2 linked regions of the Drosophila melanogaster genome follow. The protein of the gene in region 1 interacts with the protein of each later gene in a pairwise test. Each region holds a gene or a part of one and is shown on either strand. Other genes may lie near its edges.

Region 1 (7,432 bases):
CCTTGTTACTCGATATTGCGCATCCACTTAAGCCGTAACCAAAACCCAGACACTAGGCAGGCACATACATAGCCACGTAGCACATAAGAATTCTTTTTCATATGTATGCACAAAAGCATAAGCAAGAAGCGCTCTCGCGCAGATCAAGTAAACAACCCACTAACCAAGTACATTTAAGATTTTCTCACACCATTTGTTTCAGTCTTAAGCTGATATTCAATCAATAAAAACGCAAAGCGAATTCATTCGAAGTTTTTATTCATTTCGGTTCAAATACGGATCATTTATTCGACTCAAAAGCAAAAATTATTTTACTATATGTATTCTCGATCCACATGACGCGACGCGGCGCAACGAAATGTCGACGGAGAACAAAACTCAGAGCTGCATTTGTATTACACATTTCGTTGACATTTTTTTTTTTTCAAGAAAAACGAGAAATATCTTTAAACAAAGTGTACTGTATATTTTTGGAGATTTATTATTAAGATCTTATATATTTAAATGTAATAAAAACAATGTCTTTGTACGAAGAAGATGGGTGTTTTGCGTATGATTTTTATTTTTTTAATTGTGTCATTCATGTTCAAATGTAATGAGTACAACTTTGATCTTGCCTTCGTAGGACCAGCAAGACCAGGCAGAACTACTTACACGCAATCTTACATAAGTACTATATTTTTATAGTGAAATTTATAGTTCACTTCCCAAAACAGTGGTTTAAGTCGATTTAGTATGATCCAGCAATTAACCCATTTATTTATTATGTTTACATGTTTTTCTTTTCTGTTCATTACAAGCTGTCAATTTGTAAGCAGCGTCGCTTGATTGCATCGTTCACAGCTTGGGACAAAGTAATGTACTGAATGTCGTTCAAAGATATTGTTGAGAGTGTGTTTAAATGTGGTGTTCGGAGGTGATGCTTCTCGAGAAGACTCAGTCTTGGCATTCTCTGCTACTGGGAGGGCTTATATATGAGCTAACTTATGGCACCTAGGAATAACTAGTGCGTTAAACGTTCTTACTTGTTTTTCAACTGTGGCCGTTTGAGGAAGGTAACCATGGTGCTGTTGAACATGTTCACCTTAACAAACGTAACAAATGTTGTTGGTGCCACATCGCGCAGTATCATCAGCAAGCGCTTGGCGGGCAGAAAGGTAACGCATTCCGTGTGGTCCGTTTCAATGCAACGGTCATCGGGAGCACAATAATTAAGGTCATCGTCCAGCGGAATTCCCGGTACAGGGCGCTCCACGGGGATCACATCCTTCTTACTTCCCCTGTACAGCTCACCCGTTGCACTCAACAGCTGGGTAACCAATCCTAGGCGGAACACGCGAAGCTGCGAGGCATTCTCGCGAACGGCCCGCATTACGGAATAGATCACGTTGGCCGAATTTTGAAGACACTTTGGGACGAGCAACAGGTGCGTAACAGTGGTGCACATTCCAATCAACGAAGTTAGAAGGTCATCCACCTCGACGTTCACCAGCTCCAGTTGCTGTACCGAACAAGCAGCGGCTACACCACACATAATGTGGTACAGCGGAAAAGTGGTATTGATCATGTGCTTGTTCTCCAAGCGGAGCCTGCGTAGAGACGTTAAAAAGGGCAGCACTTGCTGGCCAAATTCCTCGGTATCCATGCCCTGGCATGAAGACAACACTAGCACCTTCAGGTTAACTAGTTTCTTCAAGAAGCGGAAGTCCTGCGAGCCTATATAATTCACTCCACGTATATTCAACTCAGTTAGATGCACCAGGTCGCCCAGAGAGTCTAGTGATTCCACTTTGCTTCTGTGGTCCGTCATTAAGATTTGAAGCACGCGAATCTTAGACCATTGTCGTGCCAAATTTAAAAAATTAAAAGTTGGACTGTAGCAGATTGCCCTTAGCTCCAGCAGTTGGGGCAATTCACGAAAGACCTTAAAGAGGAACTGGTCATCTACTGGACAAGTGCGAAGAACACGCAATGCTTTCAGGACGCTAATGTCGAGTGTAGCGAGAATATCCGGAGGATTCGGCAATATCACGCCCAGCATGTCCAGTTCGCGTGTGCAATTATTTGCGAGTTCACGGATAAATCGCGGCCAGTTGCTGATATGGGTATCGCGTAGCATGACTGTGCGCCATACACTCTTATCCTGACTGATCATGGCCCATGTTTTGCAAACCTGCGCCATATTTACACGATCCTATATGGGATGGGATGGGATTACGAACTTCAATTTTACGATGACCTAGACATTTTACCTTCATCGTCATGATTTTCATAACGGCCATCACTATCTGGCATCCGATGTGACAATCGCCCAGGCTCTGCACCAAACTGGAGCTACATTTGTCCTTTGAGATCTTTTTAAGGCCAGCCAAATTCTGCCGGTTTGGAATCCTGATAAGTTGAGGAAAAACATATAAATAACTGTGCGTTTCGTAGGTTTTTTGCGTTGGTCTTGGAACTAAACCGACTCACACTTTCAGATTGCAACCAATCGGATCGGCTATGATGGCTATAGCCTTGCGCCCTCCAATTACAACAACCTCTTGTTCCTTTATAACGGTCTGCTTATTCACGTTTTCTAACTGCTTTTTCTCCGCCTGTTGAACGGATATTTCATTTTCCAAAGTGACTTCTATCATGCTGAAGTCACTGTCATCGTCATCATCATAATGATCCTCATTTCCTCCAGTCTTTTTCATCCATTTCTTATTGGCATATCCCTTCTCATAGATACACTTCTGAAAGAGGATATTATAAGCCAGTGAATCTCCAATAGCATTTCGTAAATTACCTTGCACAACTTAGGTCCAGACGGATGAACAGAAGCCGCGCAGCGCACACAAGGCTTTGACTTATCAGGGGCTGCCTTTGCGTGAGCTCTGGACATGAAAATACCGAGTATATAGAGATTGATATGTGTATATATATACAATATATCTACCTGCGCCTGCGAATGTTGGTATTACCAATCGGTGAACCGCACGAGCTGCTGTTGGTGTAGTCTGCCCGAGAATTCCCCTTAACCGCCCTGGTCGAGGTCCAGCCCTCACTCGGTGGACTTGCCCCTTTGGGCACCTTGGGCTTCGACACTCGCTTTCCAGTGACCGTTAAGGCAGGCGTCTGGGGCATTACGTTGGACGGGTTGGCCAACCCAGCCTTGCCTTTCACCACCGCCCCTTGCTTCGCCACCGTTTTGCACTTCACAACCGCCACATGTTCCATCTCCGCCACCTTTGGGACCGGGCTACCATTGCTGCGAGGCCTGGGATTTTCGGAGCTGGGTATAAAGAGATCTCGCTCTACGCCAGTTTGCTTTAGGCGTTCGAAAATAACTTTCAAAGAGGTTTCGGTGGATGTTTCTTTCATTATGTTCGTCTCATCGGTCAGAGGCGTATGGCTACTGAAGCGCACTGAACGACGCGAATGCTCCGGAGGCGAATGGGTGGACATAGAACGTTTTACGATGCGAGCGTCCTTAAGTGATTTGTGCAAGGTATGATCAGCTTCCGCCTGCTTCTTGGTGGTATCCTCTTTTTTATCTTCAACCTATGGGGGAAGATACAAGAGGGAGAGAAGATCAATGGTTAGTAAATCTGTGAAATTTCCGACTCTTAGCATAAGATTTTTTAAGGGTCTCCACCTGGTTGTATAAGTCTGATGGTTGCATGTTGGTTGGTGTTGTACTGGACTTGGATGTTGTTGCAATACCAGTTGCATTTGGACTTTTTTTTGCGTTCAAAGGGCTTTTAATGGCTGCATCCAATTCCCCCTGGGAGGCGTCGAGTGGCGACGTCATTATCGGCGTTGTTAGAGACGGCTGCTGCTGCTGCTCCTCAGACTTATTAGTGATATGAGCCGGCTTTGTTGTACCTGCCGCTGTCTCCTCTTGTGGTTCCACTCTCGGAAAAACCTTTAGGCCACTCCATGGCAGTACACCTGGCTTGGCCGTCGACTATTGCCGTAGTGTGCATGTTGTGTATTGTTTGGTTGAGATTTGAGATAAGCACAGATACGATTTCGTGTTGAGAAATACAATAATATAGAACAAACAAAACGATGTCCGCACAACATAGACCTCTGTATACCAGTTACCAAGTTTGATTGGAAAAATAGTCAAAAAACAGTTTATGGGGATCTAATAACCTTAAGTTCTTTCGATTTATGCAAATTTCCGTCCCAAGATTATTTACAATATTTTTATGTTTACATAAGTTTACTTTACAGGTAAAAGTAATTTGAGTATAAGTTTTAAAATAAACTTATACTCAAATTATATTGATTAATTATGTGTATTTGTGAATAAATACCGACCGAAAGGGATATTCAAATTAGCCCATTTGTGGATTGAACATGAGTATACAGAGGTATGTTCTATAAGCTTGAACAGACAGCAGCAGGCCAGCTCGTGTCCTGGACAGCATCGCCATCCCCTCTACTCACCAGCGGTTCTTTATCCGAGTTGCTTTCGATGTTGGATATGGGTGTTAGCTTTGGGAATTCTCCAGTCCATCCCATTAGACCTAAATCGCACGGTTCAAGATCGTCACGATGCGTGCTGGGCTCACGATGACGTTCACGTTGACGGCCACGGCGTCTGCGGCGTTCAAATTGACTCTTGTCATTTAATGTCTTTGAAGTCTTAATCATAGTACCTAAGTGGGTTTAGATGAGATGTGTTATTATGCTACAGATGCTGGTTATTTATTTATGCTTACTTTTTTTTCCCTGCTCAGTGTTCGAGTCTTTAAAGCTAGAGCCATCCCGGTGAGTCGAAAGATCCACGTTTGTGGAATTGGCATTTAACACCAGCAAGTCGCCCTCAATAATGTTTTGTCCCACGCCGGCACTCTGTTCACCAATGGAACCTTGTTCATCTATAGCACCGCCTGTGCTACTTTGATTGGCGCCGGAACTAGGTCCTGCAGCTGTAGATGATTCGAATGCGGAATCAACGTTACCGTTACCACCGGTATGCGACGATGAATTGGTAGCGCTGCTAGAGTTGCCAGCTAAGGGCTGCTTGTCACACGGCTTTGACGGCCCAAAATTGTCATCGGGCACATCCATGTCGCTCTGGAATCGATGTGCAAAAAAATAAGCTAAGTTTCTAGATATATGTTGTATATGTTCTCATAAAACATTAATAGTGATCACTTATGGAACCGATAGGCAAACAATTCAATGGAATTTCGTCTGTCAAAAATATTGACCCTGAAGACCTGGGTTGTCACTTTTTCCACAACCGACGTTTTATTGTCAAGTCATTTAATTTAAAAAGTATGCGATGTAAATTCTAATCAGAGTTAGCCCTTTTTAATACAATACTTTACAATAAACGAATTCTGCCGGTTAATCTGCACACAACTCACACACACACACACACACATGTAAATTTATGCGAGTGTCAGGGTTGCGCGGCTTCGCGGTTTGTTTTCTTTACGTTTCTGCTTTGATCGCCACAATTGTTGATCGAGAGGAAACCTGACGCACACATACGAAAAAACTGAATAGCGGGTTCTTGCACTTTCGCCGGCACAAAGTACACAGTTTTTCTCGTTTAAGTTAAATTTACTATCACTCTTTCGGACCGTTTCGCTTTGTTACTGTGTTTTCAGCCTATGCTTTGCCGCTTCTTCGGCGTATCGCGAACTTGCGTTGCAAGTAAGTGTGTGTGTGGATGCGACGCTTATTAAATCTGCACCGGATTGTTCAGCTAACCGTGTCAAAATCATGTAGAACTCAACAATTTTGTTTTAATTTTTGAGCTTACCTTTGTAAAAGAAATAAAAAGTTCACTTGAAAAGACACTGAACACGACAACTTCTTTCGGAAATATAAAACGAACCTACAAGCGTACTTAACTTGTCGACTTCCACTCACACAATTATTCGGTTAGATGGAAAATCTCGACAACGATTATTCAATACTATCGAATGAGTTGTAGGATTTTCTAACACATGTAAATACCAAATTTTAGCATATGATATGTTTTAAAACTTACCGGCATATACATTCACTGAGATCACAGATTTTATTCAAACGAATGTCTTAACATATATTTATATATATATTTATATTTATCTCAACACTTAAATACTAAAAGACACGTTTATCGAAATTGCCATTTTTGGAGACACCTAACGGGTTTTCCATCGCACAGTTTCGTTCCATGTGCTGTCATCGATAGTCCAACAACAAAATATCGCGTGCAATCATCCCTGGCGACACAACTGGTTGTACATATGTATATAGCGACATTACACACCTACATATATACACCTACATATTGCCAGCTCTGCACGTGAAATCCGAGGGCGGCTGTTGTAATCTGTGATCAAATCAAGTGAGTCCAAGCGCTAAATGCAAGTACTATAGGCCATACAATAGCATCTCTTTATCCCTATGTGTTCACAGACATGTCCAAGGCCAAGGGTAAGAAGAAGGAGCGCTTTGATGACGACGAGGAGCAGCTGGAGAAAGTGCAGGAGAAGAAGCCACCGACAAGCAAGAAGGGTGGTAAGAAGGGAAAGCGAGGAGGTGGCGGCGGCGACTCCAGCGACGAGGATGTCACGACCAGGAATCGGGACAACGAGGATCTGGAGAGCATAGCCTCATCGAATCAGAGCAAACAGCAGACTGCCGGCAAAAAGCAGGCCAAGAAGGGTAAAAAGGGCAAGAGGAATAATGACTGGAGCGACGAGGATGAGAAGCCAGAGAAGAGTTTGCCTGCCAACGACTTGGACGATGAAGATGACGACGAGGCGCCTCTGGCATCCAAGCCAGCTGCTAAAAAGCCACAGCCCAGCAAAAAGAACAAGAAGAACAAGAAGAAGAACGACGATTTCTCGGACGAAGATAAACCGGAGCTGGACTTGGACGACCTGGACAATGAGGAGGATGAGGTGGAAGTGGTTGCTGTCAAGCCAGCCTCCAAGAAGTCCAAGAAGAAGCAGCAGGCTCAGCAAAAGAACATGTTCGCCATGAGCGATGATGAGGAGGATGAGGTTGCCGATGATCTGCCAAATGACAGCGAAGAGGAGGAGAAGGAACAGCTGTCCAACAAGGCGGCCAAGGAGTCAAAAAAGGAACAGCAGAAGCAGCCCGAAAAGGAAGTGGAGGAGCAGAAAGTGGAGCAAGTCCTTAGCGAAAAAGTGGCGGCAGTAAGTCTCAAGGAAAAGACACCTGAGCCGGTACCCAAGGCCGAGCCCGAACCCGAGTCTGAACCCCAACCCGACGAGGAAGCCGATGCTGAGGTAGATTCCAAGTTCGAGGAGAGCAAGGAAGCCAAGGAGAAGAAACTCACTCACAAGGAGAAAAAGAAGCAAAAGAAGCAGCAGGAGTACGAACGCCAAATGGAGCTGATGACAAAGAAGGGTGGTGCCGGTCACTCGGACTTGGACAACAATTTCACCATGTCGCAGGTGCAGAAGAG
Region 2 (4,309 bases), 3.0 Mb from region 1:
CCAAGTACTCGCTGTGTTCCGCACCTGGAGGCCTTGCGTTGCAACTACCACTCATAATAGGCAATTAGAGCGCTGCTGACCTTACTCTTACTGGCATTGCGTGCGAGGCTGTTGCTTTCAAGTGATTCGATGACTGTTTCCTGCCTGGAACACCGCGTTCAAGGGGAGTTACATCCACAATTACCATATATATATATATATGCATACACTGCCTAAAAGGAGATGATCTCTGTAAATTAGTTATAGAGATTTGTCACTAGTTTGACCGCAAAAATAGATTAGGTAATTCCAAGGTGAGATGAATACCTTGGCGGTTTGAAAGTGTCTAAATTAACGAAACGGCTGCCACATAGATCCTAATGCGAAAAGCAAATATTTAAACAGCCGACTCGTGCAAGTTTGGAGTTCGCAATGAACGGCCCACAGATTAATATAGTGTTAAGTTAACCAGCTATACAAAATTCAGCAAGAAGGCAAAGTAAACAAAACTGAATAATATGATTAATGAGTTTAAGATATTATATTCATTTTCTTATCGGGCATTTTGGCGAAAGGACGATTTATAAATGTTTCATCAACTATATTCTATACTCGCATAGTCATTATTATTGTGTATTATTTGAGGACGATTTATAAATGTTTCATGAACTATATTCTACATTCGCATGGTCATAATTATTGTGTATTATTTAGCAGCTATCAGAAGTACCAAAAGCAAGTTTCTAAAACTTTTGTAATTACTGGGGCTTCTCCCTCGTTCGCTCAGGTCCTCCATTCGTCATCTCTCCCGAAAGTGTTATTCGAGCTCCAATACAAAGAACCGGACTAGTGGCTCCGTGATTCAACACCATTTTTCCACCTCATTCCATTTTGTGGCAGTCGACTCCGGCTTATTCCTTACGGCTTTGGACGCTAGCCAGCTTGGTTGATGGGCCGGCTAATACTGTTCGGCTGTGTCAGCATCTGCAGGTCCGAGCGGAAGCTCCTTGGCAGCCCCGAGATGTCCAGCTGGTGCTTGAGCACCACCATGGTGGCCAGGGTTTTTAGAGTGGGCTCAAAGTCGAGCACATGCAGATCGCTGTAGTCGATAAGCGCCACACCGGGCGGAACAACTCCGCCAGCCGCTGCGGCTCCGCCCGTCTCTTGAGTGGGTGAAACAGCTGCCGGCGAGCTGGAGGAGCCGCTCCTTGGACTGGTGCCGCCAAACAGGAACATCCTAGTGCCCATCACAATGGCGCACTGTCTCCGACGCGCCGTCGGTGCCTTGCCGTTGGCCCGTATCAGGTTCCACAGCTTGGTGCGCGGATCGAAGGTGTACAGATCGTTGAAATGCTGATCCAACAGGCCATTATAGCCACCGAAGACATATATCAGCTTGTTGTAAACGAACATGCTGTGGCTGCGTCGACCAACGGGCACCTTACCGGCCGTGAACGGTCGATGCCACACCTTGGTCTTCATGTCCAGGTAGACGATCTCGTGACAGTAGGTCTCCTCCTGGCTGTGGTACGGACTGTGCTTATCGCCCCGCCCGCCGAAGATGTACATTCGCTCCTGTTCGTAGGCCACCGACGCATGAAAATCTCTGTAGCTGGGCGGCACGCCAAATGTCTGAACATAGCGCCACTCCATGGTGTCCAGATTAAGGGAATGCACATCGCTGCTGAACTCGTTGATCTCATCGACGAATCCACCGAAGATGTACATACTATTGCCAATGACACAGGCCGAGTGACCATCCCGCGCTCCGGGTAGACAGCCAGTGACCTGGGGCCTCGACCACTGCGCTGTCTTGGGATCGAAGCAGTAGAGGGTATTGCAGAGATTCTCGTCGTTGCGACCGCCCCAAATGTAGATGCGATCCTTGTAGGCCACCACCGTGTGTCCGTAGCGCTGGAAGGGCACCAGCGGATACTTGAGTGGCACACCCGCGTCGTCCAGCTGCTGGGGCACCAGAGTCCAGCGCATTGTGTGTGCATTCAGGGCGTGCACATCGATGGGCTCATTGTAGCGATAATCGTATCCGGTGCAGTAGCCACCAAAGCTGTAGATGAAGTCGCCCACGCCCACCGCTGCGTGATTGACCCGCTGTGGCCCACCGTCCAGATGCACCGTCCACAGCATGTCTTGGCCAACTGGATAAGCTGTGCGCTGTGGGCTGCGAGCCGTGTAGCACCAGTGTGCTGTGCGAGGAGACGGAGATCTTTGCTTTGGGCCCAAGCTGCCCGAGCAGCCCAAGCAGCCAAAACACACAAAGGAAAGCAAGTGCGCCGCAGTTGTCGCTCCTTTTGGGAGCGGGGGCAGGGTGGTGCGGGCGCAGGTGCGAGCAATTGAAGGCCACACAGGTATAAACACTGATACCAAGCGCTAGCTGCGCTCCGCTCTGCCAGTTTTGCCAGATGTTGAAACGAAACGAAACGGATCGAATTTTTGAACAACACAAGCACACAGAGTTGCGTGCGTGAGCGGACGCACGAAATAGCAGGGCTCCACTGGGTCGTGCTGTTATCGATATCGATAGTATAGATTTCTGATTGACAATTGCATTTAAAAAATGACAAATTCGAAAATCCAATGTATTTGCATTAAATATTTAGCTATTTTAGCGAAACAGTTGCAATGGCAATGTGCATTTACACTAGATTGATTTTTAAGATGAAGCTCCAAACAATGAATTAGAATATTCTAATGTCTTTGGTCAATTTACCTGAACTTTTTTTCACTCAATCACAAATTCTCATTGAATATTCTTAGTTTTTGCAAGCTTAGTTGCGATATTTATTTACTGTTGTATATATGTGTTTTTATATACGTCAAGTGTTTGTGTGTAAATTAGATTGATTGTAGTACAAAAGTTATAACAAAATAAATAACAAGAAATCATTTAATACAATATTACGCGAACATACATTATATATGATGCAATCTATGCACATTTTGGTTTACGAATAGTGGTCCCCATGTGTCTGGCCACAAAAAAATAAAGGGACGCCGCAGCGGGATTGGTACGAAAATTGGAGGCAAATCAAATGCTACGATTGCAGGGAAGGGGTGGGCGGGGGGGTTGGGGTGTAATGGAGGAAATGGGGTATTCGAAGCCCCGCCTCCTATACATTCGTGGGCGCGTCCATGCCGCAGATAACCGACTTAACCACCGACGCCGCCGAAATGGCAGCGAAGTTTTGCCACTTCCTGGTGGACGTGCCGTCCTTGTAGTCAGCGATGCCCTTCACCAGTATAAAGCTCTCTCTGCAATTGCCAATGATGCTGTCCAGCACGCTGCTCATCTCCACATCGGTGGCCAGTAGGCCGTACTTCCTGGCGAACTGGGTGCGCAGCTCGTCGCTCCTCACCAGATCCCTTCCGGATCCAATGGGACCCAGATGGAGTCGCAACCGATTGACACCGTCCACCTCGTCGGCGGCAATGGGATGGGCCACCTCGATCACCTCGTTATTTCCAATGTTCATAAACAGTTTGTCCGTCCGCGCGTCCGGCCGGTTGAAGTCGGCATCCGTCTTCTGGGCCAACGCCTGTTGGGCCTGGTTCAGGTAGTCCTCCCACGGCCGCTTCACCTGCATGTTGGCCTGCAGGCTCTCGGCGATCTGCTGCAGCGAATCGTTCACCGGGAAGTAGGTCTTCACGTCCTCGCCGCTCTTGTACAAGTACACGTACGGTTTCTCCTTGCTGTGAAGAGCCATACATGAATGCGATTGATAGATTGAAGATTTTATATTCGTGTAACTTACCTATTGCTGATCAGTGCCCGCTGTTTGTCCACATACGAGATGACCACATCGCCCAGTCGCACGTGCTTCTTATAGTCCGTGTAGTGGGGAACGCCACCGGCTACGCCCACGATGAAAACATAGTCGACCTTTTGGAATGTGCCCAACAGACGGGTTGTGGTATTGCCCGTCGCCGTCATCGCCTCCCGATTGCTGCCCACCGACGGGAGCTTGGTGCTCACGATCCTGTGCGCCCCGATATTGCCCAGAGTATACACATTCGATTCGCCTGTGGAGTAGAGAGAAAGTTTGGATCAATTGATTGGCTTACAGAAAGCGGTTTACGTTCAGGACATTGATAGATACATATATACCAAATTATACAAAGAGGAATGAAAAGAACATGAAATAAGGAACAAATCATATTTAAAAAAAGAAAAAGAAACACCAATTATAATTTTCCATACATCCCATATTCTTTTGCGATCAAAATACAAAACATAAACCAATTAATGAACCGAGTGTGTGACGGATCTAATCAATCCGTCTAATGACGTAGTTACATGTGTATATGTACAATA

What was found.
Region 2: the proteins of CG2247 (region 1) and CG12081 interact in a two-hybrid assay, tested with the Drosophila melanogaster proteins (one large-scale study listed by BioGRID).

What each region holds. Positions count from the first base shown.
Region 1 is NC_004354.4:11,605,762-11,613,193, forward strand, and holds CG2247 (uncharacterized protein), read right to left. Parts: upstream 5,892-7,432; 5' UTR 5,771-5,891; intron 5,074-5,770; 5' UTR 5,068-5,073; coding exon 4,716-5,067; intron 4,653-4,715; coding exon 4,441-4,652; intron 3,953-4,440; coding exon 3,641-3,952; intron 3,547-3,640; coding exon 2,942-3,546; intron 2,880-2,941; coding exon 2,792-2,879; intron 2,739-2,791; coding exon 2,473-2,738; intron 2,392-2,472; coding exon 2,253-2,391; intron 2,195-2,252; coding exon 1,022-2,194; 3' UTR 529-1,021; downstream 1-528. Other genes in the region: CG1703 (uncharacterized protein), read left to right, coding at 6,417-7,432.
Region 2 is NC_004354.4:8,586,966-8,591,274, reverse strand, and holds CG12081 (uncharacterized protein), read right to left. Parts: upstream 2,465-4,309; 5' UTR 2,125-2,464; coding exon 913-2,124; 3' UTR 501-912; downstream 1-500. Other genes in the region: CG12065 (uncharacterized protein), read right to left, coding at 3,108-3,687, 3,750-4,017.